4 linked regions of the Pelodiscus sinensis genome follow. The protein of the gene in region 1 binds, or shares a complex with, the protein of each later gene. Links are inferred from orthologs where the notes say so. Each region holds a gene or a part of one and is shown in the gene's direction. Other genes may lie near its edges.

What was found.
Region 2: MED24 (region 1) and MED8 share a complex: the UniProt entries of both Homo sapiens proteins name them as parts of the mediator complex. The link is inferred for Pelodiscus sinensis from reciprocal best matches to the Homo sapiens genes MED24 and MED8.
Region 3: MED24 (region 1) and MED7 share a complex: the UniProt entries of both Homo sapiens proteins name them as parts of the mediator complex. The link is inferred for Pelodiscus sinensis from reciprocal best matches to the Homo sapiens genes MED24 and MED7.
Region 4: MED24 (region 1) and MED26 share a complex: the UniProt entries of both Homo sapiens proteins name them as parts of the mediator complex. The link is inferred for Pelodiscus sinensis from reciprocal best matches to the Homo sapiens genes MED24 and MED26.

The regions. Positions count from the first base shown.
Region 1 is NC_134739.1:11,072,969-11,080,645, forward strand, and holds the start of MED24 (mediator of RNA polymerase II transcription subunit 24), read left to right. Parts: upstream 1-4,666; 5' UTR 4,667-4,817; intron 4,818-7,003; 5' UTR 7,004-7,012; coding exon 7,013-7,142; intron 7,143-7,677. UniProt on the Homo sapiens protein: Component of the Mediator complex, a coactivator involved in the regulated transcription of nearly all RNA polymerase II-dependent genes.
Region 2 is NW_027465825.1:9,112-16,133, forward strand, and holds the start of MED8 (mediator of RNA polymerase II transcription subunit 8), read left to right. Parts: upstream 1-4,008; 5' UTR 4,009-4,046; coding exon 4,047-4,052; intron 4,053-7,022. UniProt on the Homo sapiens protein: Component of the Mediator complex, a coactivator involved in the regulated transcription of nearly all RNA polymerase II-dependent genes.
Region 3 is NC_134727.1:39,200,470-39,208,198, reverse strand, and holds the start of MED7 (mediator of RNA polymerase II transcription subunit 7), read left to right. Parts: upstream 1-4,722; 5' UTR 4,723-4,875; intron 4,876-6,695; 5' UTR 6,696-6,713; coding exon 6,714-7,406; 3' UTR 7,407-7,729. UniProt on the Homo sapiens protein: Component of the Mediator complex, a coactivator involved in the regulated transcription of nearly all RNA polymerase II-dependent genes.
Region 4 is NC_134729.1:30,941,978-30,949,785, forward strand, and holds the start of MED26 (mediator of RNA polymerase II transcription subunit 26), read left to right. Parts: upstream 1-4,799; 5' UTR 4,800-5,137; coding exon 5,138-5,212; intron 5,213-7,808. UniProt on the Homo sapiens protein: Component of the Mediator complex, a coactivator involved in the regulated transcription of nearly all RNA polymerase II-dependent genes.

The DNA.
Region 1 (7,677 bases):
GTTTCCCTGTGGGACATGGAGCCAAGAACGCTCACCTGCTTAGCCTGTGACCATGTGGGCCGGGGCAGCTGTGGGCTGGCCCTGAGCGGGTCTCGGGGTTGTCTTGTTGAACAAGCAGTGAGGGGAAAAGTCCCTTTCTGGGCTAGGGCTGGTGGGATGGGGGAAGGTCCCAAGGCAGCAGATGAAGACCCGGGGTGGGGTGGGTGGGGGGGAGAATTTTGTAAGACTCGTGTGGCTGATCCTTACTCTGAGCCTCTGTCCTCTGCTCCCTGCTGCGGGGGAAAGGCAAAGAGCACCATCCTGCCCAGCCACAAGAGAGGCGAAGAGGTGGGTTGCCGCTTGCATGGAAGCAAGGGACTTCGACCTAGACGGCTCTGTGCTGCCCCAGCACAGAGACACAGAACTGCCTAGTGCTAGATCTCAGGGCTTCCCGTGCTGACAGGCCAGACCCCTGGCATGACAGCGCAAGGGGAATCTCCGTTAGCAGTAAGGGGCCTATGACACGCGGCCCCGAGAAGTTGGTGATTCCACCCTGCAGGGGGCAGTGATGAGTAGCTGGTTGTGCTGCCGTGGTGCCATTCACCCCAGACAGGGCCAGCGAGCGCTCGGTCTGCGGCATCCTCGGTACTTTGCCGGTGGGGAACCTGCAGGTGTCCGGCCCTGCTGAAAACCAGGCTGCGCCCTCACGCCCAGGGGCCGTTTCATGCTAGCCCACCCAGGCTGGGCCTGGTCTGCCTCTTGGCTGCGCCTCGGCGCCCGCTAGAATTCGTTCAGCCCACGCTGTAAACGTGGCCTGGTCTGCACCTTGAGATGCACGATCCTCGAGGACGACCATGGAGCAAGGGGCCAACCCCCCCATTGGCATGTCCGTGGCACCAGGGCCTGGCCTGGCCCAGCCCCGTGGCCGTCTGCAGCAGAGCCCACGCCCGGAGCTGCCAGCTCTCTGGGTTAACGCTGCCAGGGACCCGGCTCCTCCTCCAGGTTCCCTTCCAAGCCGCTGCCCAATTTCTCTGGCAGATGGCGAACGACACAGGTCTCTGGTGTGAGCGCAGGGCATGTGACGGGGAGACGCTGGCTTTCGGGGAGGGGGAGCCGGTGATGTGGGCGCACCAGCCAGCCAGCCCGGGAGGGTGGGTGGCATGTTGCGGGGGGAAACAGATGCCAGGAAAGAGAGAGAGAAGAGAGGCCCCAGCCCAGCTGCTATGCTGGGGGGAACGTTCCCTGCGGTTTCGGCTACTGCCAGTCCAGAGCATCCTCCCACGCAGCTCCCACTGCAGTGCTGAGTAGAGTGCGTGGGCACGGGCAGTGCAGCTGTGTCTGCTAGGGCCCACGAGAACAGTGCTGGTAGAATGCAGCTGTGGGTCTCGGGGGGACTCTGGAGGGAGCTGCACGAGAGAGAGAGAGCATGTGCATGCATGCGCTGCCCCCTGCTGGACTGAATCCGAATGACCCAAATGTGTGTCATAGGCCCCTATATCATTAATAACCAATGGGGAGACTCCTCTAGCTTAAGCCCTGAGCTCTGCCGTGGAATTCCCAGGGCGCCCACCGTGGGGGTGTCGATACTATTTGGCCTCCCACTCGCATCATGGTGTCCAGCCAGTTCAACCGGCCAAACAGCCGCCCGTGGCTAGCCGCTAGCGCATGGGTCACCACGGCTGTAGCCTCTCCCCAAGAGGCTGGTGGGTTGCGTGTCTGAGACAAGCCTGGTGAACCCCTTTCCCAAGAGCAGGAATCCAAGACAATGCCGCCAAATCAAGGGACCCAGGAGACCTGGCCCCTGTTATTAGCTGTCCCGTGAAATCTGCAGTGGGACCTAGGCCCCTGCGAGTGTAGTCAGCTAGACCAGGCGTGGGGGGGCTGGGCACAGCTGCAGGGCAGAGGAACAGACCTGGCCAGCTCTTCGGAGCCCCAATTCACTAGTCCCTGGCTCCTGGGCAGGAGTCGGTGGCCCCTCCCCAAATCACTCCGCCCACTAGGCGCTACACAGCAAAGGGGGCGGGGGCGTCAGCTCCTCAGCCGGCCTGTGCCAGGTTCCACCTGGGAGTGGATAGGCAGGACGCTGATTGTGCGCTTGGCCGTGGCAGGGCAATTCCACCCTGGCGTTGCCACCTCCCCTCGAGACGGGGACGCGAACAAACGCCCGCCAGGCTGTGTCCCTTCAGAGGCGCGGGCAGAGCTGTGAGCAATACCGGTAGGAAAAAACCAACGTGGGCGAAAACCAGCACAATCTTGCCACCTACACATAGACCTCCAAAGGGCCGTACGTGGGCTGCAGGTTGCCCACCATTGAGTTGCACCCTTCCCTACGGCGTAGAGAGGTGCAAAGAACTGGTACAAATACCAGCGTATTCCAGAAGGCTCTCCAATGTCCCTCCTTGCGGATAACCCCCGATCTTCTTCTTTCTCTGCATTGCTGTAGTGACACCCCACCGTGGCGCTGGGCTCTGTACAGACACCGAAAACGGAGCTAATCCCTCCCCCAAAGAGCTTACAATCTAATACAGGAGACAACAGATGGGGAGAGATGAGAGTACAAGAAAATCTCCCCTCCCGTCCCCCTGGCCTGGCTCTCACCCCCTTTCCAAGTCCCTATCACATCCACAGGGGTTTCTCCGTCCCGGGTCATTTTCAAATTACGATTGGATTTTTTTTCCCTACAAGAGCCCCCTCTAGGAATGATCTAGGCAAGATCCTGTGGCCTGGCCAGTCAGACTAGGTGACCGCAAGGGTCCCCTGTGGTCCTGGAGCTGACGGCCCTGATCTTTGTGGTTGCTGGAGCGATGCTTTCTTGGGGAAAAGAGGACGGAGTGAATTATTAAACACGTCTAGCCTCGTTAAACGTGCTGGAGCAGTTGGAAAGGACGAGAGAAAAGCCGAGCCCGGTGCCCCGGGCCCTGTCCGAACTCTGTGCAAACCAAGGCAAGTCCATCATAGAACCATAGAACCATAGAGCTGGAGGAGACCTCAGAAGGTCATCAAGTCCAGCCCCCTGCTCTAGGCAAGACCAATCCCAACTAAAATGGAGGAGAGACTGGTGAGGTTTTTAATGCCTCGGATTGTGAGCAGGTGCCGGCCTTCCTGCGTGCTTGGGAAGTGCCTGCCTGGCTCTTGGCACACACAGCCGTACAGAGCCAACTAGGCACTGTCAGACTGCGTCTCAACAGAGACAGCACGTGGCTAGCTCACTGCAAAAAGCCAGTTTCCCTCTTTGGGGGTTGGATGCACTCGGTTCGATTTTGGATGTTGCATGTCATTTCTACTGTCCTATACTGCTCTGTGTGGGCGTGCCTCAGTTTCCCTAGGCGCCGCACTGGTGCCCACACGGGAATGGGAGTTTTGGATGTGACTCTCCGGGAGGGGAGGCTGCCCCAGCCCCTCATGTACACAATGGCCCAGACTCACTGTAACATGAGCCTGGGAGGGGGTGTGTGTACAAACAGGTGACACCTTTTGCAGGGGAAGCTGGACAAAGGAGGTGGGGCTGCCTGCAGGGTGTGAGTTGGTCTGGCTTAGGATCCAGGGAGGGGGCCCAGGGCTCTGGGCTCCCCTCTCCCCAAGACGGATGGTGCCGGCCGCTTCTGGTCCTGTGCTGACACATCTGTGCTACGCTGTGTCCCTGTGAACCAATAACCCTTCTGACCGACCTGCCGGCGAAGAGTTATGTCTGGCTGTGGAGCGGGGTGCAGGGCCAGTGACCCCCACCCTTTTGGTGACACCCTCTTTTGCTATTCTCCCCTTCTCATCAACTGCTGGGCAGGGTTGTCCTTAACATGCAGGGACCCTCTGGTACGGTTGCCAGATGGTTTCAACAAAAATACCGAACACACTTGACATTCCATCACAATCTGCATTCCATCTTATTTAGAAAACGCCGGACATTTCTATTTTCTCATTTCTATTTTCTCAATTTGTTTCCCGAACAGAAAGCTCCAATACTAGACTGTCCGGTTCAAAACCGGACCCCTGGCAACTCTACGCTCTGCCCCTCTCCCCCCACCCCGCATCCCACCCCTTGCAGCCAGGCTGGGTGAGTTTCTTAGAGCTGTGATTTGATCATCTTCAGCAATGCGGTAATGAAAAATTTAAAACCAGAAAAAAAAAAAAATCCTGAAATTCCTGATAACAATGTTTCCCAAATGGGGTTCTGCGGAACCCCGGGGTTCCACAAAGTGAAAATAAGGGTTCCGCAAGAAAATTCCATTACAACCACATTTTATGATTTAAAGAAAAAAATAATATTTAAGCATTTATGAATTGGATTGAAAACAATTTTCATGTGTGTTGATCGCATGACCTTGTTTAGCATTTGTTTATGACGATCCTTACTTATTTGTGGGCTACTTTTTCAGCTCCATATATTAGACTGTTATTCGGGGTGCTGCAAAATTCTGCCCAATAACATGGGTAAAACCAAAAAAGCAGTCAGGTAGCACTATAAAGACTAACAAGACTATCTCATTATTCACAGAGCTACGTGGCTGCTTTTTTTGTGTGTTACCAAGATCAGACGCACACCGCTACCTCTCTGCAAATAAAATTGGGACCCTCTGCCCTATAGCTTGGAAAATGCCACTGCCCCTTCCACCCCCAGTCAGAGGGGCGGCCCGATGTCTGTGGATGGGACCGCCTCCCCCGCCGCCGCCGGCAGCCAGAGAGAGCCCCGCTCCTGGGCCGCCAGCCTCAGAAAACTACCGCTCCCAGCAGCCTCCGCGGCGCGCGGCGCGCGTCCAGCCAATCAGTGGAGGGCGTGTTGGTGGGTGCCAAGATGGCGGAGCCCAGGGCGCGAAGGAGGCGCTGTTTGTGAGGCCTGAAAGGTGAGGGGGCGGCCCCTGTCTGTATGTGGGGAGGGGGGGAGCGCCCCCCTCGGGGTGTGTGTATGTGGGGGGGTGCTCCTGGGTGTATATGGGGGGGCTGTGGGGAGCACCCCCGGGGTGTATGTATGTGGGGGGAGTGCTCCTGGGTGTATATGTGGGGGGGGCTGTGGGAAGCACCCCTGGGGTGTATGTATGTGGGGGGGAGTGCTCCTGGGGGCATATGTGGGGGGGGCTGTGGGGAGCACCCCTGGGGTGTATGTATGTGGGGGGGAGTGCTCCTGGGGGTATATGTGGGGGGGCTGTGGGAAGCACCCCCAGAATGTAGGTATGTGGGGGGGAGTGCTCCTGGGTGTATATGTGGGGGGGGCTGTGGGGAGCACCCCTGGGGTGTATGTATGTGGGGGGGAGTGCTCCTGGGGGTATATGTGGGGGGGGCTGTGGGGAGCACCCCTGGGGTGTATGTATGTGGGGGGGAGTGCTCCTGGGTGTATATGTGGGGGGGGCTGTGGGAAGCACCCCTGGGGTGTATGTATGTGGGGGGGAGTGCTCCTGGGTGTATATGTGGGGGGGGGCTGTGGGGAGCACCCCTGGGGTGTATGTATGTGGGGGGGAGTGCTCCTGGGGGTATATGTGGGGGGGTTGTGGGGAGCACCCCTGGGGTGTATGTATGTGGGGGGGAGTGCTCCTGGGTGTATATGGGGGGGGCTGTGGGAAGCACCCCCAGAATGTATGTATGTGGGGGGGAGTGCTCCTGGGTGTATATGTGGGGGGGGCTGTTGGGAGCACCCCTGGGGTGTATGTATGTGGGGGGAGTGCTCCTGGGTGTATATGTGGGGGGGGGTTGTGGGGAGCACCCCCAGGGTGTATGTATGTGGGGGGCATGGGGAAGTGCCCCGGGTGCATGCGTGTGGGGGCAGGGGCAGCACCCGGGTGTATGTGTTGGGGGGCGGGAGCAACGCCCCCACATGTAGATGTGCCCCTCCCTCCCTCAAGCAAGTTAAAGGGGTGCTGGTAGGTGATAGGGCTCACACATGCACATCTCTGTGCCCCCTGGGACTGCCCCACTGGGGCAGATGGGGAAGCAGGGTGATGGGGTTTCACACCTTCTCCTCTAGCCACAGGAGCCTGCCCCTTCCCACGGCTGGGAAGTCCAAGAGCCCTGGCTCCCTACCCTTCTGCTCTAAATGTTAGACCTCACTTGTTTCCCAGATCTGGGAGCAGGAAGGGAACCCAGGATTCTCCCCCCCCCCCCACTCCACCCACACCCTATGCTCTATTCATCCTGATGTGATTAGAACTTATGACCCCCTGCGCCCAATACTCCCATGAGCTGATCAGTGGGCTACTGTCTCTTCCTTATAATTAGGCCCCTACCAAATTCATGGCCATGGAAAATGTGTCTCTGACCATGAAATCTGGTATTTTGTGTGCGTTTATCCTCTACTGTACAGATTTCACAAAGGAGATCAGTATTTCTCAAACTGAAGGTCCTGACCCAAAAAGAAGTTGCAAGGGGGGGGGGTCATAAGGTTATTTTAGGGGTGTCATGGCATTGCCACCCTTACTTCTGCACTGCCTTCAGAGGAGCTGGGTAGCTGGAGAGTGGCGGCTGTTGTCCAGATGACCAGTTTTGATGGCAGCACCCTGGTAGCAGCCAGAAGAAATGGTAGCAATACGGTACCATGCTGCCCTTACTTCTGTGCTGCTGCTTTTGGCAGCTTTCATCCAACTCCCCAGCTGCCCACCTCGAAGGCAGCATCACTGCCAGCAGCAGTCCAGAACAAGGTAGCAGTACCACAACTCCCCCAATAATTTGGTGTCCTCTCACCCCCAAAACTCCTTTTCACATCAGGGGACCCCTGCAATCGCAACACTGACATTTCAGATTCAAATAGCTGAAATAATGAAATCTGCTATTTAAAAAATCCTGTGACCCTGAAATTGACCAAAATGGACCGTGGATTTGGTAGGGCCCTACTTATAATGGTCTCCGAGCTGCCGAGTCCTGGCTCCCAGCCTCTTGCATAAACCAGGTTGCACTGCCTTCTGCTAAGAGTGAATCCTTTGTTATAGAAATAAAAGGTGTGCTTGATTGACAGTGCCCCAGGAGAAGTGTTTGGGTGAGAGGGGAGTGGGTGAGAAATGCTGTTATGAACAAGCTGCTGTATCTTCTCTCTGCCTTTCAGAACAGAAAGATGAAGGTTGTCAATCTAAAACAGGCCATTCTCCAGGCCTGGAGAGAACGGTGGAGTGATTACCAGTGGGCCATAAACATGAAGAAATTCTTCCCTAAAGGAGCCACGTGGGACATACTTAATTTGGCAGGTCAGGATTTGGTTTTGTTTGACTGTTTGCGTGCACGTGTCTGTGTTATGTGCGTGGTACAAAGCGAGACACACATATCACCCAGATAAGCAAACTGCAGCAGTTGTATTATGTTTACCTGCATTTCTATGTCTGGGCTGAAAAACTCCCAAATAGAAATGGAAGGTCCAAAGACTTGTGTACATGTGGAGCCCTTCACAGGGACGACTCGTGCTTAAAGCCAAGCGTGTAAATCTTGGGAAGAGTGGAGTATATAGCATGATTGTTGGCTGCAACAACTTGCTCGGCTATTACTGACACCGAGAGATGCAGAATACTTTGGCGGCTAGAGCTATAAATTGGGACTAAAGAGACCTGGATTCTCTTCCAAGCTGGGCTGCTGGTTTGCTTGGAGACCGTGAGCATCTTTTTGTGCCTCAGTTTCTCTATCTGTACAATGGGGGAAATGATCCTGCGCTTCCCTTTAAAGAACTTAACGATCTGTGGCTAAAAAGTGCTGTGTAAGAACTAAGTATTTCTGTTGTTGTACATGTTA
Region 2 (7,022 bases), on another chromosome or scaffold:
CACCAGCTCCTGCTCCCTGCCTCTGTCTGATAGAGGCAGTAAGGGGCGGGGCCGATCGAGTAAACTAGTTACTAGTCAGCTAGTCACTTACATCCCTAGTCTTTGCTGCCTGCTACTCCCAGCAGACACACCCAAGCTGCTGCGGAAGGAGCACACATCCACACAGCTAGCTCTTTGCTCCCCGTTTTTCCTGTATGGGAGCCAGGAAGTCTGCAGAAGGCAGGAATTCTGCACCCCCCAGAGGGCGCAGGACTCCCCCAGGAGTAACAGGCAGTGCCTGCCCCAAGCAGCCTACAGCCCGAACACACAAAGGGACACAGCACGCCAGCAGGGTGAGAAGCCTGATGATCTGCAAATGGCATGGCAGTGCATTGACGTTTAAGGGTTGAGGTTTGGCCTGGAAGGAATTAGCTCCCTGGGTGCCTTCTGGCCCTACCACCTGGCATTCAGGAACTGCTCTTGCATGTGTGGGTTAGGGAGCACCTGAGCTACAGTCCAATCTCACTAGGCAGCCACTCAAAAAAATGCTACTAAGGAAAGTTCAACTTACACTGGGGCAAAGAATATCTGGGATGAATTTCCCTTAATAAACTGCAGGCTCCTGCCCACAGATCCCCGTCTCTGCTTGGCACTGCCCATCGGGGCCGGAGGCTGAGGTTTGGCCTATACAAACACAACAGAGTAGCGACCTTACGGTCTAGCATTGCACCAGAACACAGCTTCCGAGGGGCCAAGACTACTTCACCATAAGCAGCAGTGTGCACGCAACTCCCGTCTGCATGTCCCCAGCAGCCTGGGCAACAAGAAGAGCTGGCACACGAAGACTGGGGAGAGGAAGGAGACGGAACTGTACCTGGTGGGACTGCAGACCAATGATGGAAGAATATGCTTGGATGGTGACAAAGATCTCTGGCTGGTAGGTGATTTCTGAACCAGGGACTCGGAAGGGTTTGAGCAATCCCACGAGGCACCGGGAAAGGGCATGGAACACCTCGTCAAAAATTATCTCCCCCGTGGAGTCATCCTGCAGAAGTACGAAGGGTGAAACAGTAACTGGTTTTCCAGTGTCACTGACGGGGGTCCCTAGCACCTAGCGTTCCACCACGCGCCCTCCTGGAAACATTCCGCAGAGCCCCAACCCGTGAGGGCCAGTGCCCACCAGGCAAAACCCAAGCACAGACAACCTGCACAAGGGTGGGATTCCAGCCAGTGGCAGCTGCTGGCACATGGAGCTTTTGCTGGGAAGTGGGAGCCAAGCTCGCCTGGCACCAAGATGGGACACAGCTGGCGGCAGGAGCTCTGTGTGAGAGAGCCCCGAGGTCCCCCTTGCACGCTCACACACGATGCCTGTGGACGGGCTCAGATCAAGCTCAATCACAAAGCGGTACTGTCGTGCCAGGAAGGTGACCTGCGTGGAGGGTACTAAGAGGTAGGGCCTGGGCCGGACAGACTCATGTGGCTGCCACCCATTTGGCAGGATGCTGAGAATATCCAGTTCATTATCAGACTTCACCTGCAGGAGAAAAGCAGCAAGTGAGGAAAAGCCAGGCATCCAGACGAGCAGGAAGAGGAGAGAACAAATACCCAGGCGAGAGGCTTTCACAGGGATTCTAGACTCCCAAGGAGCAGTGTTGACCAAAAATGCCTACATCTTCTCTCCTCCACGGCCAACCTGCCAAATCCGGGGGCACAGGTCACAGCCCCCTACGTCAATCCTGAGCCTGCATACTCACCAGCTCGCACTCAGGCACAGCACAAATGACTTGGCGCAGGTGACTCAGAAACCAGAGAGGCGCACGTTGCGGGAGATCCGATAGTCTTTCTTCATCAGCAGGAAGACCTGGCCTGCCTCTTCCATCTGCAGCAAATGGAAACCAGTCACCATAGCGTGGGACAGTACGAGCGGAGACCGTGACGACCCCCCCCGCCCTACAGTCCCCCCCGCACTCACCGCCCTACGGCCCCCCCCGCGTCGCTCACCGCCCTACGGCCCCCCCGCCCTACGGCCCCCCCGGCTCACTGCCCTACGGCCCCCCTGCCCTACGGCCCCCCGCGTCGCTCACCGCCCTACGGCCCCCCCGCCCTACGGCCCCCCCCCCCCGGCTCACTGCCCTACGGCCCCCCCCGCGCTACGGCCCCCCCCCCCGGCTCACTGCCCTACGCCCCCCCCGCCCTACGGCCCCCCCGGCTCACCGCCCTACGGCCCCCCCCCGGCTCACCGCCCTACGGCCCCCCCGCCCTACGGCACCCCCCCCCCGGCTCACCGCCCTACGGCCCCCCCCCCCGGCTCACCGCCCTAACGGCCCCCCCCGGCTCACCGCCCTACGGCCCCCCCGCCCTACGGCCTCCCCCCCCGGCTCACCGCCTTACGGCCCCCCCGCCCTACGGCCCCCCCCGGCTCACTGGCCTTACGGCCCCCCCGCCCTACGGCCCCCCCCCCGGGCTCACCGCCCTACGGCCCCTACGGCCCCCCCGGCTCACTGCCCTACGGCCCCCCCGCGCTATGGCCCCCCCGCCGCTCACTGCCCTACGCCCCCCCCCGCCCTACGGCCCCCCCGGCTCACCGCCCTAACGGCCCCCCCCCGGCTCACCGCCCTACGGCCCCCCCGCCCTACGGCCCCCCCCCCCGGCTCACCGCCCTACGGCCCCCCCCCCGGCTCACCGCCCTACGGCCCCCCCGCCCTACGGCCTCCCCCCCCGGCTCACCGCCTTACGGCCCCCCGCCCTACGGCCCCCCCCGGCTCACTGCCTTACGGCCCCCCCCGCCCTACGGCCCCCCCCCGGGCTCACCGCCCTACGGGCCCCTACGGCCCCCCCCGGCTCACTGCCCTACGGCCCCCCCGCCCTACGGCCTCCCCCCGGGCTCACCGCCCTACGGCCCCCCCACCCTACGGCCTCCCCCCGGGCTCACCGCCCTACGGCCCCCCCGCCCTAACGGCCCCCCCCCCGGCTCACTGCCCTACGGCCCCCCCGTGCTACGGCCCCCCCCGCCGGCTCACTGCACTACGCCCCCCGCCCTAGCGGCCCCCCCCCCTACGGCCCCCCCGCCCCTACGGGCCCCCCCCCCGGCTCACCGCCCTACGGCCCCCCCCGCCCTACGGCCTCCCCCCCCACGGCCCCCCCCCCGGCTCACCGCCCTACGGCCCCCCGCCCCGCCTCCTACGGCCCTCGCCCCCCCCGGCTCACCGCCCTACGGCCCCCCCGCCCTACGGCCTCCCCCCCGGCTCACCGCCTTACGGCCCCCCCGCCCTACGGCCCCCCCCCGGCTCACTGCCTTACGGCCCCCCCGCCCTACGGCCCCCCCCCCCGGGCTCACCGCCCTACGGCCCCTACGGCCCCCCCCGGCTCACTGCCCTACGGCCCCCCCGCCGGCTCACTGCCCTACGGCCCCCCCGCCCTACGGGCCCCCCCCGCCCTACGGCCCCCCCCCCAGATCACCGCCCTACGGCCCCCCCCCGTCCTACGGCCCCCCCCCAGCTCACCGCCCTACGGCCCCCCCCCGCCCTATGGCCCCCCCGGCTCACTGCCCTACGGCCCCCCCGCCCTACGGCCCCCCCCCGGGCCTCACTGCCCTACGGCCCCCCCCCACCCTACGGCCCCCCCCGGCTCACTGCCCTACGGGCCCCCCCACCCTACGGCCCCCCCCGGCTCACTGCCCTACGGCCTCCCCGCCCTACGGCCCCCCCCGGCTCACTGCCCTACGGCCCCCCCACCCCTACGGCCCCCCCCGGCTCACTGCCCTACGGCCCCCCCCACCCTACGGCCCCCCCCGGCTCACTGCCCTACGGCCCCCCCGCCCTACGGCCCCCCCCGGCTCACTGCCCTACGGCCCCCCCGCAGCTCACCGCCCTACGGCCCCCCCCGCCCAACGGGCCCCCCCCCAGCTCACCGCCCTACGGCCCCCCCGCAGCCGGGTCGGTACCTCCGCGTCCCCGCGCTCGCTGCCCGCCATGTCGGCCCGGCCCCGCTTCCGGCCCGCGCTGACCTCTCACCCCCGACCCGGAAGTAGAAGGGGGAGGGGGTCGGTGTCTTCAGAGGATGCAGCCATGCAGGTGAGCGGAGCGGCGGCGGCACCCCCCCCCCCCGCTGAGCCGGCCCGGGGGGGGCTCCGGGGGGGGTCTCTGACGGGAGGGCTGAGGGGGAGGGGCGGGGGCCCCGGGGGGGTCTCTGACGGGAGGGCTGAGGGGGAGGGGCGGGGGCGCCGGGGGGGGGCTCTGACGGGAGGGCTGAGGGGGAGGGGCGGGGGCGCCGGGGGGGGGGCTCTGACGGGAGGGCTGAGGGGGAGGGGCGGGGGCGCCGGGGGGGGGTCTCTGACGGGAGGGCCGGGGGCCCCGGGGGGGGGCTCTGACGGGAGGGCCGGGGGCCCCGGGGGGGGGCTCTGACGGGAGGGGCTGAGGGGGAGGGCCGGGGGCCCCGGGGGGGGCTCTGACGGGAGGGCCGGGGGCCCCGGGGGGGGGCTCTGACGGGAGGGGCTGAGGGGGAGGGGCGGGGGCCCCGGGGGGGGCTCTGACGGGAGGGGCTGAGGGGGAGGGGCGGGGGCGCCGGGGGGGGGCTCTGACGGGAGGGCTGAGGGGGAGGGGCGGGGGCCCCGGGGGGGGGCTCTGACGGGAGGGCTGAGGGGGAGGGGCGGGGGCGCCGGGGGGGGGCTCTGACGGGAGGGCTGAGGGGGAGGGGCGGGGGCGCCGGGGGGGGGCTCTGACGGGAGGGGCGGGGGCCCCGGGGGGGGGCCCCGGGGGGGGGCTCTGACGGGAGGGGGAGGGCCGGGGGCCCCGGGGGGGGGGCCCCGGGGGGGGGCTCTGACGGGAGGGGGAGGGCCGGGGGCCCCGGGGGGGGGCCCCGGGGGGGGGCTCTGACGGGAGGGCCGGGGGCCCCGGGGGGGGGCCCCGGGGGGGGGCTCTGACGGGAGGGGGAGGGCCGGGGGCGCCGGGGGGGGTCTCTGACGGGAGGGGGAGGGCCGGGGGCGCCGGGGGGGGTCTCTGACGGGATGGGGAGGGGCGGGGGCGCCGGGGGGGGGGTCTCTGACGGGAGGGGGAGGGGCGGGGGCGCCGGGGGGGGGGTCTCTGACGGGAGGGGGAGGGGCGGGGGCGCCGGGGGGGGGGTCTCTGACGGGAGGGGCTGAGGGGGAGGGGCGGGGGCGCCGGGGGGGGGTCTCTGACGGGAGGGGCTGAGGGGGAGGGGCGGGGGCGCCGGGGGGGGCTCTGACGGGAGGGGCTGAGGGGGAGGGGCGGGGGCGCCGGGGGGGTCTCTGACGGGAGGGGCTGAGGGGGAGGGGTGGGGGTCCCGGGGGGGGGGGTCTCTGACGGGAGGGGCTGAGGGGGAGGGGCGGGGGCCCCGGGGGGGGGCTCTCTGACGGGAGGGGCTGAGGGGGAGGGGCGGGGGCCCCGGGGGGGGCTCTCTGACGGGAGGGGCTGAGGGGGAGGGCCGGGGGCGCCGGGGGGGGGTCTCTGACGGGAGAGCTGAGGGGGAGGGGCGGGGGCGCTGGGGGGGTCTCTGACGGGAGGGCTGAGGGGGAGGGGTGGGGGCGCCGGGGGGGGTCTCTGACGGGAGGGCTGAGGGGGAGGGGTGGGGGTGGGGGTGCGGGGGGGTCTCTGACGGGAGGGGCTGAGGGGGAGGGGCGGGGGCGCCGGGGGGGTCTCTGACGGGAGGGCTGAGGGGGAGAGGCGGGGGCACCCGGGGGGGTCTCTGACGGGAGGGCTGAGGGGGAGAGGCGGGGGCGCCGGGGGGGGTCTCTGACGGGAGGGCTGAGGGGGAGAGGAGGGGGCGCTGGGGGGGGGGTCTCTGACGGGAGGGCTGAGGGGGAGAGGCGGGGGCCCCGGGGGGGGTCTCTGACAGGAGGGCTGAGGGGGAGAGGCGGGGGCCCCGGGGGGGGGGTCTCTGACAGGAGGGCTGAGGGGGAGGGGCGGGGGCGCCGGGGGGGGGTCTCTGACGGGAGGGCTGAGGGGGAGGGGCGGGGGCGCCGGGGGGGGTCTCTGATGGGAGGGCTGAGGGGGAGAGGCGGGGGCACCCGGGGGGGGTCTCTGACGGGAGGGCTGAGGGGGAGAGGCGGGGGCGCTGGGGGGGGGGGTCTCTGACGGGAGGGCTGAGGGGGAGAGGCGGGGGCACCCGGGGGGGGTCTCTGACGGGAGGGGCTGAGGGGGAGGGGCGGGGGCCCCGGGGGGGGGGCTCTGACGGGAGGGGCGGGGGCGCCGGGGGGGGTCTCTGACGGGAGGGCTGAGGGGGAGAGGCGGGGGCACCCGGGGGGGGTCTCTGACGGGAGGGGCAGAGGGGGAGTGGCGGGGCTTATTTCAAAGCTCTGATCAGCTTTTGCGGAAAAGCGTCCTGCCAATCTAGACGCGCTTTTCCGCAAATGCTTTTAACGGAAAACTTTTCCGTTAAAAGCATTTTCGGAAAATCATGCCAGCGTAGACGTAGCCACTAAATCTAGACTACATCCCTTTTTCAGAAAAGGGATGCAAATTAGACGTATCGCAATTGCTAATGAAGTAGGGATTTAAATCTCCCGCGCTTCATTAGCATAAAAATGGCCATAGAAAAAGTTCTCCAGGACAAAAACACAGGAAGTCATTTTGATCTCAAATGACAATACAAATCACAGAGTAATAAATAATGGTGTAGGTTTTCCACCTACCCTAAATTGCATGAATAGAGCCCTGCAAATCTGTGGATATCTGCTTTATATCCATGAGTATACCATGGTTAATTTTTGCAGATGCTGACAGAAGTTTTATCTCTAGAACCGTGCAAGTTTGTGGATATTTGCTTTATATCTGTGGGGTATTTGCATCCATGGGTGTCAATGCAGATACAGGCAGTCCCCGGGTTACGTACAAGATAGGGACTGTAGGTTTGTTCTTAAGTTGAATCTGTATGTAAGTTGGAACTGGCATCAGCCGCTGCTGAAACTGATCAGTTTCAACCGCGGCTGAATCTGGATGCCAGTTCTGACTTACATACAGATTCAACTTAAGAAACCCAGGCATCCCCAAGTCAGCTGCTGCTGAAACTGATCAGTGGCTGATTCC
Region 3 (7,729 bases), on another chromosome or scaffold:
TGCTCTAGGAATGGCGATGCAAAGAAATTGTCTTCTCTACTATCAAAGCGGTAGCTGTGTTCGTCTGAATCTGCAAAAGCGGCGAGGAGTCCTGTGGCACCTTAGAGACTAACCGAAGTGTTGGAGCGTAAGCTTTTGTGGGCAAAGACCCACTTCGTCAGATGCATGTAGTGGAAATTACCAGAGGCAGGTATAAATATGCAGGCCAGGATCAGGCTGGAGATGACGAGGTGGATCCAATCAGGGAGGATGAGGCCCACATCTAGTAGCTGATCTGGAGGTGTGAATTCCAAGAGAACAGAAGCTGCTTTTGTAGTTAGCGAGCCATTCACAGTCTTTGTTTATGGCTGAGTTGATTGCAGATGAACTGTAGCTCAGCAGTTACTCTTTGAAGTCTGGTCCTGAAGTTTTTTTTGCTGCAGGATGGCTACCGTTAGATCTGCAATTGTGTGTCCAGGGAGATTGAAGTGTTCCCCTACAGGGTTTTGTATGTTGCCATTCCTAATATCTGATTTGTGTCCATTGATTCTTTTACGTAGGGACTGTCCAGTTATCTTCTCTACTGATTTGTTTTCAGTATGACTAACCCTGAAAAGGGACTGTCCCTGCATGATGTCACAAACGTATTACAGGTGAGTGAGGTAATGTCTTTTATTGGAAAAACTTCTTTCTCACCCACCTTGTCTCTCTGATATCCTGGGTCCAACATGACCACAAAATTGCAAGCCACAGACATATGATGGGCCCCTCCTGTGATTCCAGGAACACTGCTGCCCTCTGCTGGCCCCAGGAGAGCACTACATGAATATCGGTGCTCCAAAAATCGTTTCTAGGGGATGTCATGTCACAATAAAACGTCCATGCTGGCCATGGTCAGCTGGTTCACTGAGATTGGGCTTGGGGCTACAAAACTACACAGTAGGTTTTCATGGCTCTGGGGCAGCATGAGTATGGATGAAAATCCCATTTAATCAGTTAACTGGGTAAACGTTGTGTTTAACTGGTTAACCGCTTAACTGGGATCCCAGGGGAGGAAGCGGCTGCCCACCCAGGCTAGAACACCCCCTGCCTTTGGTGTGGTGGGCTCCACTGTGCTGCTCCATTCTTCCTAGGCCACCAGTTAACTGGTTACCAGTAAGCATCACCTGGCAAAGGTGATGCTTAGTGGTTAACCAGTTACAGCCATACTCATGAGCAAGGAAGGTCCCAGAGTTTGGGCCCAAATGTCTGCATTACAGTTTTAGAGCCCCAAAGCCTGAGTCCTCTAGGCCAGATATAAGCCAGTCGGGGAGAGAGGGGGGTTATTGTAGTGAAGATCTCCCCCTTCTCCTCCAGCCATCCTGCAGGTCAGATCCTACGACAATGGAACAGCACCCATGAAAGATTAGGCGTGGCTTAACTGCTGTCTATGAGTATCTGCATGGAGAACAACTTTTTATTATGGAAAAGCAACAAGGAGTCCTGTGGCACCTTATAGACTAACAGATGTGTTGGAGCATAAGCTTTCGTGGGCAAAGACCCACTTCGTCAGAAGCATGTAGTGGAAATTTCCAGAGGTAGGTATAAATATGCAGGCCAGAATAAGGCTAGCGATAACGAGGTTCATTCAATCAGGAAGCATGAGGCCCACTTCCAGCAGCTGATGTGGAGGTGTGAACACCAAGGGTATGTCTAGACTACAGGGTTTTATCAACAGAAGTTTTAAGCTTCTGTCGACAAAGAGCGTCTAGACTACATCCAGTTCTGTCGACAAAGCAAGCTGTTTTGTTGACATAACAGTGTGGACGCAAAGGACAGTGTAGATGCAATAATGCCTTCTATCGACAGAACTCTGTCAACAAAAGGCGTTATTCCTCGTAGAATGAGGTTTACATACGTCAACAAAACTGCTGAGTTTTGTTGACGTTATGTCGACATAACTCAAAGGCAGTGTGGACGCAGGTATAGTTTTGTTGACAAAAGTCCACTTTTGTCGACAAAACCCTGTAGTCTAGACACACCCCAAGAGAGGAGAAACTGCTTTTGTACTTGGCTAGCCATTCACAGTCTTTGTTTAATCCTAAAGTGATGGTGTCAAATTTGCAGATGAACTATAGCTCAGCAGTTTCTCTTTGAAGTCGGGTCTTGAAGGTTTTTTGCTGCAGGATGGCTATCTTTAGATCTGCTACAGTATGTCCAGGGAGATTGAAGTGTTCTCCTACAGGTTTTTGTATGTTGCCATTCCTAATATCTGATTTGTGTCCGTTTATTCTTTTACGTAGGGACTGTCCGGTTTGACCGATGTATATAGCAGAGGGGCATTGCTGGCGCATGATGGTGTATATTATATTGGTAGATGTGCAGATGAATGAACTAGTGACGGTGTGGCTGATTTGGTTAGGTCCTGAGATGGCGTGGCTGGTGTAGATATGAGGGCAGAGTTGGCACCGAGGTTTGTTGCACGAATTGGTTCCTGAGTTAGTTACTGTGGTCTGGTGTATAGTTACTGGTGAGAATTCTCCTTGACTGAATTAACCTCATTATCTCTAGCCTTATTCTGGCCTGCATATTTATACCTGCCTCTGGAAATTTCCACTACATGCGTCTGACGAAGTGGGTCTTTGCCCATGAAAGCTTATGCCCCAATACATCTGTTGGTCAATAAGGTGCCATAGGACTCCTTGTCACTTTTGCAGATCCAGACTAACATGGCTACTCCTCTGATACTTTTTAATATGGGGCTCCTCCATCTGGCAGAGAAAGGTCTCACAACCCAACCACTGGAAGTTGAAGCTAGCCTAATTCAGACTGGAAATAAGGGGTAAATTTTAAACAGCAACAGTAGGGTTACCAATCTTCCAGGTCTGTTCAGGGTGGAGTTTCTGGGCATTAAAGATTAATCTTGAATTAAAAACTAGGTCGATGCTCAGTGGGAATAATTAACCATCAGAACAGTTCACTGGGGGTCCAGGCAGATTCTCCATCAAAGACCATTTAAAAATCAAAATGGGACGTTCTTCTTCCAGATCTGCCTTCGGAATTCATTGGGGGCAGTTTTCACACCCCGCCTGCCGACTCCACGGCTCCCATTGGCCGGGAACCCCAGCCAATGGGTGCGGCGGGGCAGTGCTTGCCTGTGGGCAGGAAGAGTGCACTGAAAACCCGATTGCCCCTGTGCCTAGGAGCCAGGCATGCAGGGGGGCTGACAGACAAGGGCAAGGTGGTGGTGGAAGCCTTGCTCTGGGGTCCTGGAATGGGTGAGGCCTTGCACAGAAAGGATAGGACTGGGGGCAGCACCGCCCAGAGTGCGCTGCAGCAGCTCTCTGTCCCCCACCACTCCCGGCAGCCCTCAGAGCTGTGCAGTGCTCTGGGGGGGCCTGGGCCAACCGACCCATTTCACCTCCCCGTTGGCACGTCTGCAGGCATGCCAACTGCTCCCTTTCCCCTCCCCCCATGCCAACTGCTCCCTTTCCCCTCCCCCCATGCCAACTGCTCCCTTTCCCCTCCCCCTATGCCAACTGCTCCCTTTCCCCTCCCCCCATCCCAACTGCTCCCTTTCCTCTCCTCTCCCCCCACATTGGCGGGCCTGCCAGCTGCTTCCAGGATCCACTGGTGGGAAGCACCCCAATCTCCTACCCCAGCCCTAAGTACCCTCCTGCACCCCAAAGCCTTCATCCCTGGTTCCACCCCAGAGCTCACTTGACTCCCAGTTGGAGCCCACATTCCCCGCACCCCAACTCCTCACCCCAGCCTTGAGCCCCACCACTCGCGAACTCCCGCCCAGCGCCTGCACCCCAACCCCCACCCCTGCTCCAGCCCAGGGAAGGTGAAATGAGGGTGGAGGAACAGGAGCCACATGTGTGTGGGGCTGGGACCTGGGAGGCAGGGGCAGAACCCCATAGAAGGGGGGGACAGAGCCTCAGGGCAGGTATGGGGGGGCTCAGAGAAAGGGGGGCAGGGATGTCTGCAGTGGACACTTGGTAGCCCCACTGGCTGCCACACGCCTTTGCCCCCTGCCCAGGCCAGGAGCAGGAGGGTGCCTAGGTGCAGGCACTGCCAGTGCAGTGAAGGAAGAGAACTGGGGCACACTGGGGGGGGGGACTGAGATGACGCTGATGGGCAGGGGGGGCTGAGACGCATGGGGGGGCAGGGGGTGGCACTGAGGGGCTGGAGAGACACTGAGGGTCACTGAGGGGGCTGGGAGGCACGGGGGGGGGCTGAGGGGTCACTGAGGGGCTGGGGGGGTCACTGGGGGGGCTGGGAGGCACGGGGGGGGCTGAGGGGTCACTGAGGGGCTGGGGGGGTCACTGGGGGAGCTGGGAGGCACAGGGGGGGCTGAGGGGTCACTGAGGGGCTGGGGGGGTCACTGGGGGGGCTGGGAGGCACGGGGGGGGCTGAGGGGTCACTGAGGGGCTGGGGGGTTACTGGGGGGGCTGAGAGGCGCTGGGGGGGTCACTGGGGGGTCACTGAGGGGCTGGGGGGTCACTGAGGGGGCTGAGAGGCGCTGGGGGGTCACTGGGGGGTCACTGAGGGGGCTGAGGGGCCGGGGGGGGGCCGAGCCCCACACGGGCCCCTTGTGAACCCGCCCCTGGCCCTACCCAGCTGGCCCCGAGGCGATGAGCTACACCCCCTGCGCGCATGCGCGGCCAGCCCAGCGCCCTCACTCCCCCGCCCCCCGCCGGGCATCCGCTCCCGGCAGGCTGCGCGCGGCCAGGCCCCCGCCCGCCGGCCGCAATGGGGCGGGGCGGGGCTGTGACGGGCGCCGGGAAGAGCCAATCCGACGGCGACGTCCCCGCCCCGGGCCGTCCCTGCGGGCCAATGGGAGGAGGGGCGGGGCCGCCGGAAGTGAGTGCGGCGGGTCGGCGGCGGGGAGCTCGGGAGCCGTAGCGGCAGCAGGTGAGTGTCCCCCCCCCCTCCCGGGGCCCCTCAGAGCCCGGCTCCGCCCCCCCGCCGCGCCCCGGTGGGTGCTCCCGCCGGCCGGGCCCGTCGCCTCAGGGCCCGGCCCGTGGGGGGGGCTGAGGGGGCAGCGCAGGCCCCCGATAATGGGGGGGGGCCGAGCCCCCGCGCACAGACCCGGGCGAGCCCCCCCCAGACTCGCTGCATTTGGGCCCCCCCGGTGGTGTGACCCCCCCGCCCCGCGCGGTTACTGAGCACTGCGAGGGGCACCGAGACCCTCCTGCAGCCGGGCGGGAGCCAGGTTCAAATCCGCCTCGTGGTGCTTACCGCGTCACTGAGGGGGGGGGAGGAGGGCTCCCCAGCTCCATAAACCCCCAATTCCAAAACCGGTTCTTTGGAAATGTGGTGCATTCACACCGAGCCACGTTTCGAGAGAACGCGCCGTTTGGGGGCAGCCCTCAGCCCGGGTTCCACTGGGATGCTGGAATAGCGCCCGCTGGCTTGGAATAACAGGCACCTTTAAAAGATGCGGAGCAGCGAAATAGCCCCGCTGGCTAGTGTCCCCAAATAGCCCCGCTGGCTAGTCTCCCCAAATAGCCCCGCTGGCTAGTGTCCCCAAATAGCCCCGCTGGCTAGTGTCCCCAAATAGCCCCGCTGGCTAGTGTCCCCAAATAGCCCCGCTGCCTAGTGTCCCCAAATAGCCCCGCTGGCTAGTCGTGCCTTAGGAAATTAGGTCCGTATACGTGCATCGTGGCTTGTTAAGATATGGGGTAGCTGTTTTGGGATACCTCCATTATCCTGAAATAGCTGTGTAGTGTAGACGTACCCTGACGGATTTCATCCCCTTTCTCTTGGGTTTAAGGACACATTCAAGTCAATTTAAGCGGCATTGTAATTTCAATGGAATCTGTGCAAGTTTTAGTGGATGCTAAAATGTCCAAGGTTGATAGACTGTAAAATAAAGCCCCTCAACCACAATCCTCCTCCCAGGGGAATCAGTGGGAAGTTTGATACTAAGTGCCCCAGCCTCACTCGCCAGGGTGAGAGTTGGGGCTCCTTTCTCGTGGTGTTTTTTTGTTTTTAAAGGAGGGGAGAGGGTGTTGAAGTGTGTTTATATAGAGGGTGTTAAACTGTGTCTGATTTTAAATTGATCCTTGAAGTGTTTCATCTAAAGCCAGAGCTGTGTGATCCGGGGTTGGTAATGGACCTGATGGCGTCTTCTGTCTTTGTGACTAGTCTGATGTGGCTAAGAGTGGCAGGGGTGGAGAGCTGAGGCCTGCTCACTGGCCTATGTGAAACACAAGTGCCTGACTCTCATAAAATACCAAACATAGCACCCTCATCTGCAGTCTGACAGAGATTCCAAGCACTGAATGCATGTCAAGGCTGAATCCTGCTTGTATCTCTCAAGGCTCTTCCAGTCTAGGGCATGTTAACTAGTGGGAGGAAAGCTCAGATTCTTTGCTAATGTTGCTGTGCCTGTTCTTTGAGTAAACAGAGAACTTGGGTTTGTAATTTTGATAGACCAGTCCCTACCGGGATTGATAGATACTAAAGGTGGAGCTAAATACCAAAGCTGATCGTAAAAATGTATCTTGCCACATTTCTAGAAAAGTCCATTTTCCAGTAGCTCCTAGCACAGGAAGTTATTTCAGAAATTGCTGTTAATATTGCAAGTCCACTGGGGGATCTGGATGGGGTAGGTGATGTATTTCTAACGATGACTTTAGATCCCATTTGCTGAAAGGGGAGTATTTAGATATGCAGTAAAACTAATTTATAACTAGCTTACTCTTACATTTTTGTGGGTTGTTCCATAGGTAGTTTCATCTGCCACAATGGGTGAACCTCAGCAAGTGAGTGCTCTCCCTCCACCTCCAATGCAGTATATAAAGGAATATACAGATGAAAATATTCGGAAAGGTCTAGCTCCCAAGCCGCCTCCACCTGTGAAAGACAGCTACATGATGTTTGGTAACCAGTTCCAATGCGATGATCTCATTATTCGACCCTTGGAAAGCCAAGGCATTGAACGATTGCATCCCATGCAGTTTGACCACAAGAAGGAACTGAGGAAACTCAATATGTCTATTTTGATCAACTTTTTGGACCTCTTGGATATCTTGATAAGGAGCCCGGGCAGCATAAAACGGGAGGAGAAACTGGAAGACTTAAAACTGCTTTTTGTCCATGTCCATCATCTTATAAATGAATATCGACCCCATCAAGCCAGGGAGACGCTGAGGGTTATGATGGAGGTGCAGAAACGGCAGCGCTTGGAGACAGCGGAGAGGTTTCAGAAGCATTTAGAGCGAGTTGTAGAGATGATCCAGAACTGCCTGACCTCCTTGCCTGATGATTTGCCTCATTCAGAGGGAGGGATGAGGTTAAAAACTGAGCCCATGGATATTGATGACAGCAACAATTGTATTGGACGGACTGAACAGCGCAGAGAAGTTGCTGGCTGCAAGAAAGAACAGGTTTTAGACAAAGATGCTGCTATGTGTAGCATTATTGATGAAATGACATGAGAAGACACTCTTGTAATTGTACAGAATTCTTGGGGACATGAAGTGGACTGGCTAATAGAAGTCATATGGAATGGTTTGTTTGTTTTTTGTTGGAGGTTTTTTTGCTGCTTTTGGTATCTGTATATATAAATCATCAAGGAATTTAGTGTATATAAACATTTAACCCAGAAATCTTATTTTTGTAGACCTAGGTAAGGTTTTTGCAGTTGACCAAACAGAAGCATTGCTTGAAATTTTGTAGATGTAATTTCTATGGTGTGCTGTTTCGAACAGAAAAGCTTTAAATCTTGTGAAATATTTTGTTGAAACAAGTGCATCATGTC
Region 4 (7,808 bases), on another chromosome or scaffold:
TCCACCTCCCCCCTCATCCTGGTCCACATCCCTGCCCTCCTGGAGGTTAACGACAGGTGTGGCCAGGCTGGAGTCTAGATAAGGTGTGGGGAGAACCCAACAACCCCCTTCCAGGATATTGGGCATAAAAACAGCAGGTCTTGGGTGCCACTCCAGATCAGGAACTTTGTTCCCTGGCCTTGACATGGGCCTGATAGACCTCCTTAATTTTCATCCGCACCTGCTCCTGGGTGCAGGTGTGCCCCTTCTGGGCCAGGCTTGTGGCCATTCATCCATGGACATCAGCGTTCCTGTGCCTGGTGCAGAGATCCTGGAGATTATATTCCTTTCCCCAGACCTCGATGAGATCCGGGATCTCCACACTAGTCCAGGATGGGGCCCTCTTCTGCCCCAGGGGCTTCCAAGGTGCTGCAGGCTCGCTTGCAGCTGTGGAGGGCTTGGAGGGAGTGCTGGGGTTGCTCACTGCAGCAAGGGATGCAGAGCAGAGTGCTGCTGTGTGGCATGGTGTGAACAGGGCCTGTGTCATGCCACAAGCACTTTCCCTTCTGCCTGCCCTTTAAAGGCTGCAGGAAAAAGTACGCTTTAGCGTTGTGAGGGGCATGGAAAGAGAGGCCAGCTGTGAGACGCCCTGGAGGCCAATTATTCTGAAATAGGCACAGCTGTGCCATCTGAACGTAGCCTATTTAGAAATAGTTATTTTGAAATAGGGTGTTACTGCTCATGAAATGGGTTTATTATTTCAGAATAAGAAGCCTGTTATTTAACATATAAAGGAGAATGTTTATGTTTGTGTGCTAATCACTTGGACACTGTAAGAGCTACTGCAACCAAACTTTGCATGGGATAACCTTTTATCCAGGAGAAAGTTTTAAGGTACTTTTGGACCCGATCGGACCTGAGCTCAAGCTGTAAAAATCAAAAAGTAAACCACTGCACCCACCGTAGGTCCCGTGCCCGCTGCCTGTAGCCCCCTGCGCTGTCTGGGACTCACCCCCTCCCACCTGCGAAGTTACATAAGCGACCCTCTTCCCCCTCCCGCACCGGCACACAGTGCCCTGACCCCCACGTGCACAGCAGCTTGGGCACCCACCCTACCCCCATGTAGAACCTGCAGCCCCAGGCGTGAGTTGGGGCGCATAAAACCTCTCCTCAATCCGGGGTCGCACCCTCCCCCCCCGGGATGACATGGACCTATATTTTAATCCCTATAGAAATCAGGGATTAAATCTTTGTTTGAATCTACCATTCAAACAAAAATAATGGACTACTGTTTTTTTACATTTTGTTCCTCTGGTTTCCCAAGCAACGCCAGGTAACTCCATCTAGTTTCGAAATAATTTCAAAATAATTTCGAAACAACACATTTGCTGTGTGGACACTCGCCTTGTTATTTTGAAATAACATGAGTAATTTTGAAATAATTCAGTAGTGTAAACATGCCCTTCTAGAGCCCTTTAAAAAAATGGGATCACATTAGCTATCCTTCAGTCATTTGGTACAGAAGATGATTTAAAGAATAAGTTATACACCACAGTTAGTAGTTCCACACTATCACATTTGAGTTCTTTCAGAACTCTTGGGTGAATGCCATCTGGTCCTGGTGACTGGTTACTGTTTAGTTTATCAGTTTTATTCCAAAACCTCTTCTAGACACCTCAGTCTGGGACAGTTCCTCAGATATGTCACCTAAAATGAATGGCTCAGGTTTGGGAATCTCTTTCACATCCTCAGCCATGAAAGAATTAATTTAGTTTCTCCGCAATGATCTTATTGTCCTTGAGTGCCTTTAGCATCTTGATCGTCCACTGGCCCCACTGATCGTTTAGCAGGCTTCCTGCTACTGTTGTACTTAAATTGAGTTTTTGGCTTGTTGTTCTTCAAATTCTTGTTTGACCTTCCTACTTATATTTTTACACTTCATTTGGCAGAGTTTATGCTCCTTTCTATTTTCCTTACTAGGATTTAACTTCCACTTTTTAAACGATGACTTTTTCTCTCGCTGCTTCTTTTACTTGGTTCTTAAGCCACAGTGGCACTTGTTTGGTTTTTTAATTTGGGATACACATTTCAGCAGGAATGGCCCAAGGCCGGCTATGGCAGCTGGCACCCCAGGCGGGTGGCGCAATCGCTGCCCCCGCCTGCTTGGCCGTCAATGGCCATGACGTCATCATTGGGCATCCGGGGCAGCGGCGCTCTAGGCAACTGCCTAGTTCGCCTAGGCTCACGGGCCGCCTCTCCGTTTCAGTTGAGCCTGTTATGGTGTCTTTGAAAAGTTTCCATGCAGCTTGGAGGGATTTGACTTTAGTCACTGGACCTTTTAACTTCCGTTTAACTAACCTCATTTTTATGTACTTCTCGTTTCTGAAATTAAATGCCTATGTTGGGCATAGGGATGATGTCAGACATGGCCAGGGGCACATGCATTTGTTTTCTCTGTGTGCTGTACCAGTTCAGCACGGATAGTTGGCAAAGCAGATCTCAACTTGAATGGCCCAATGACCAAAGGATCCGTTAAAGTGCAAAGGTGCCCAGCCAGGTTTATTGTCAGTGAATCATGTGTAGCAAGGTCAGTACCAGTCCTGGGCCCCAGACTGCTGTTCAGTCCACAAATTCACAGGCTAAGTACAGGCATAGGTCCCACTTGTCCTTGTCAGCGTTTGGGCTTCTGTCCCTTGGCCAAAAGGGTGCTGGGGGTGATGGCTCTGGTCAGCCTGAGCTGGGTAACCAGTCCTCCCCAGCTACTGGCTGGGTTCTCAGGCTACTTGGGTAAGGGAGTCCAAACATATATGTTCAGTGCTCCTCACCTTCCCTGTTGTCTCTAGCAATACTGGTTCTCTCCATCAGCTTTTCTGATCAGTTACATATAGGCTACGTCTAGAGTGGCATGATTTACTGGAAATGCTTGTAACGGAAAAGTTTTCCGTTAAAAGCATTGTCGGAAAAGAGCGTCTAATTGGCATTGATGCTTTTCTCAAAAGCACTTTTTGCGGAAAAGCATCCGTGCCAATCTAGACACGCGTTTGCAAAAAAGCCCCAATCGCCATTTTCGCAATCGGGGCTTTTTTTGCGCAAAACAAATCTGAGCTGTCTGCACTGGCCCTTTTGCGCAAAAGCTTTGCGCAAAAGGACTTTTGCCCGAACGGGAGCTGCATAGTATTTCCGCAAGAAGCACTGATTTCAGACAGTAGGAAGTCAATGTTCTTGCAGAAATTCAAGCGGCCAGTGTAGACAGCTGGCAAGTTTTTCTGCAAAAGCAGCTGCTTTTGCGGAAAAACTTGCCAGTCTAGACACAGCCTCTGTGTATTACAGTAACACACGGGCTGTGTCTACACTGGGCCACTTATTCTGGAAAATCAGCCGCTTTTCCGGAATAAGCTGCGAGCTGTCTACACTGGCCCTTGAATTTCCGGAAAAGCAACGATGCTCTACTGTATAAAGTCAACTGCTATTCTGGAAAAAACTATTCTGCTCCTGCTCAGGCATAAGTCCTTATTCCGGAACACTGTTCCGGAAAAGGGCCAGTGTAGACAGCCCAGTAGTCTTTCCCGGAAAAAAGCCCCAATCGCGAAAATGGCGATCAGGGCTCTTTTCTGGAAAAGCGCGTCTACATTGGCCACAGACGCTTTTCCGGAAAAAGGGCTTTTCCGGAAAAGCAGCCTGCCAATGTAGACACTCCTTTTCCGGAAAAACTGGCAGTTTTAAGCAGTTCCGGAAATTCATGCCAGTGTAGACACAGCCACAATGGATAGTAACAGAGAGGTAGCCGTGTTAATTTGGTCTTGGAAAAAAAAGTAGTCTTGTAGTACTTTAAAAACTAACAAGATAGTTTATTAGGTGACGAGCTTTCATGGGGCAGACCCACTTCTTCAGATCATATTCTGAAAGCGAACTGGCATGACCATTATATAACAGAAGGATACAATGAAAAAAGTAAAAAATTACAAAATGACAAATCAGCTATGTAGAACAAAAGGTGGGAATGAGGTGGAGGTGGGAGAGGAGGTAACAAGAAAGTAGGAAATTTCTTACTGTAAGAATCAAGTGGCTAATCTGGGGTCACTACAAATATCAAAAGGTGGGGAGGCTGGAGATCTGTTCTTATCAATTTAATATCTTTAGAAAACAGTTTTCTTCAGATTTTGTAAACTCAGTCCTCTCCAGGAGGGCTTACATTATGCAGGCAGTAGCTTCTTTAATCATTTTAATCACTTCAGTAAAAATGAATGGAAATCCCCATGTGCGTCATTTTTTAAAATAAAATCCATGTGCTCTTTTTATTGTGAAAACGAAACATTTCATTTGATCACACGTCATTTAAAAAAAACACCTGGCATCTGTCTAGTGGCAATCTGTTGTGGAATCTGGGACTTGTCAGACACTTAAACACCCTCGTGTTATAGAGCTTTCATGATGCAAAGAGAGCAGGAGCCAAGGGGCGTGTCCGCGGGTCCCCAAGCCCGTGCATGTGGCCCGACGGGAGTTGCTCGGTGTATCTCAGCAGCACGAGGGCTGATAGCCCGAGCCGGTAGCGAGACTCGCTGTCTCGCTCCGGATTTGCAGGACACTCCCCCCTCCCGAGTCAGCGCCTGAGCCCGCAGTCTCGGGCTTCCTGGGCACCTTTGCCATGCCCGTCCTGCTGCCGCCCGGCCGCAATGCTGCAGGGCTCCGGCCCAGGCCGGGTTTCCAGGGCAGCCCGACAGCCGCCTCCCCGGCACGGTGCAGCGCACGACACAGGGTGTGCGGAGCGCCGCGGCCCCGCCTTGCGCATGCGTATTGCGAACGAGTCCCCAGGCGCGAGCTCTCCTTCCAGGGGCCTGTGCGCGCATACGTCACAGACGCGCCGTGCGTGACGGCGTCGGGCGTGTCCCATGGTGCCTTGCGCGGGGCTGGCTCTCTGAATCCTGCCCACAGTTGAGTTCGGCCCTCAGTGGAGCAGACGGGTCCGGCCTAGTCCCGCCGCCTCGAGCCTCCCCTCGCGGTCGCGCCTGGCCCCGAGCGCCGCTCCCCCGCCGAGCGGGGAGCGAACATGCGGCTCCCTGAGGAGGCTGCCGCCGGCGAGTGAGGAGCCGCCGCCCCGGCCCGGCCCGGCCCCGCCGCCCGCCCGCCCCGGCCGCAGCCGCCCCGCTTCGCCCAGGCAATGACAGCGGCTCCGGCCCCCTCCCCGCAGCAGATCAGGGACCGGCTGCTGCAGGCCATCGACCCGCAGAGTAATGTGAGTACGGGCCGTGCCCCCCGGGGAGGGGGCTGCCCCCCGGGGAGGGGGCTGCCCCCCCGGCCGTGCCCCCCGGGGAGGGGGCTGCCCCCCCGGCCGTGCCCCCCGGGGAGGGGGCTGCCCCCCCGGCCGGGCCCCCCGGGGAGGGGGCTGCCCCCCGGGGATGCCTGTGGGCTCCTGCTGGCGTGAGGCGCCTCTCCCGCAGGCAGCTGGAGTGCCGGGTCCCGGGTGTTCCGGAGCCTCCTCCCCGCGGAGCAGCCCCGCGCCGGAAACTCCTGCCGCGGGGGGGGGGGGGGGGTGCGAGGGGCGCTGGGTTTCGAGACTCGCTTCTTCGGGTGTTGCGGAGTCCCGGGTGTTGCGTCTCCCCGTGCGCCGGGCCGGTGTCCTCGCGCCCCTCGGCCCGGGGTTCCCGCGAGGGCCGGTCCCTGTGGCGCAGGGGCCAGGCTGGCTCCGTGAGTTCACTCCCGCGGGCATGGCTGGGGGAGGGGGCAGGTGGTAGCCGGCCATGCGGTGCGGTGTCGGACCGAGCTCCGGACTCGACACCGAGGCTGTGGTGCGGCCTGCAGGGGGCTCCCTGTCTGTAATGGGCTTTCCGAGCTGGCTCGTTTGGGAAAGCGGCGCGACCCGGACCTTTCCGGCTAGGAGCTGCTAGGAGGCGGCTGCAGAGCATCCAGTGTCCCTCCTGATGCTGTTCGGTGATTGCACTCCCAAGGGGGGGGGTCCCTGCAGTTTCTTCTTCACCCCATAAAAGACTCTGGGGATGCTTCCAGCGGGTTCTGCATCCTTGCTATGAGAGAACTTTCCCTCCTCTTTCTTATCCAGTGTTCCAGTCTCTCTCTGTCTCCCTTTAACATGGTCACCTGCTGGGGGCATTCCCCGTACATCCCGCTGTTCTCCACTGTACTATAGGTAGCACACCCTAGAAGGGGCTCTTTTCATTCATTTCTCCTTCTCTTCCCTGACTCGCAAGCACCCATGCTCAGGGACTTCATTTGTTGCAGGTTAGTGTCCCAAATAAGATCCTAGATTGAAATAACAGGATTGTGGGACCCTTGAAACTTTTGGGGCCATCTCTAGGTTTAGGGCAGAAGCACGCTGTGGGTTCCTGAATTATTTACAGCTCGGGGTAAGACGTTTGTTGTGTGTTTTTTTTTTTGGCCTCACCTTTTATTATATGATGAACTTTATCAACTAGTTTGAGGACACGGTATAAGCCCAGAAAAGCTGGTATACCTTTTACCTGTTACTGTGAATAATTAAGCTTACGAGTTGTACTTAATTTTCTGTTTCAAATTAATGGTGTATAGAGTTGTAGGGTTAATTTGGATCAGCAGCCAACACATCAGAGTCTGGGTTGCAAAGTAGAATTCAACTCATAACATCTGAGGCTGGCTATGGTGAAGCCTAAATGTGCATCAAGTCAAATGCCGCATGTCAAAGTATTCATTCCACTTGCTACAGAATCATAGAACTGGAAGAGACCTCAGGGAGGTCATCAAGTCCAGACCCCTGCCAAAGGCAGGACCAATCCAAAGTAAATCAACCCAACCAGGGCTTTGTCAAGCATTAGAGACTATAGGCCAAATGGAATTAGATATTTCAGTTCAACCCAAGCTCACATGCCCATCTCTTAGAGGTCTCTATTTATTAGAAGCAGATTTATGTATCATAGTAACAAATTTGATAATTAAGTGAAAGCACTCTGAGGGTGCTGCAGTGTGATGTGCATGTAATCTGAAAATAATCAGCCCGATCACTTATAACATTGTTTTAAATGAGATCTGGCCTATTATGCTGTCTACGAACTCATGAAATCGGGATGTTTCAGTTTAATAGGCCATGGGGCAACACATAATATTTTAGAACAATTTATCTTCTTTAATTTTCTGTTCCTATGCATCCTTCATAACCTGTGGTAACCTTAAAATATACTGTACACTGGTCTTCTGTTAATGATCCCGAAATAGTTAGCCGAAATTGTAAATCTTCATGTAATTGATTTTTACATAGTCAATTAATCCACAAGCATTGGTTAGAGTTTAAATAGAGACAGCTAAGTTGCAGCATGCTGCAAGTGCTTTAGAGTAAGGGATGTTTCAGAAAGGGCAGTTGGCAGGGAGCAGTTTCTCAATGATACCAGGCAGTTGAGAAAACACATGAAAAAGCCGTGTGAAGTGAAATGTGGTGTCTTACTGCTTGTTGGACAAGCTGCCAATCCATATGTTAGAATCTTGTATTTCCTGACAGTCATTATATTAATTGGTCATGAGGTTGGACTTGTACAGTTCTGATCTCAGTTTCCATGTAAAGGTCTTCAAGCAGTCAGAAGATGGATACATTTCTTGTCCTGCATTTGCTCTTCAATTTGTTTCATAAAGAATTTTTGGACTAGTACAGTGGCTAAAATGTGTAGAACTGTTAGTTTATAAGGAAACTGAAGCACAGAATAACTTTTTTTTGTCAGAATGTGTTTTAAATTCAGGTCAGTGCTGGATTGCTGACCTCATGTCTCTCCTGGCCTGAGCAATTCAAAGTTTTAACAGATGCAAAAATAAACATTTAGTGGCAAAAATGTCAGTGAAAATAAAATATTTAT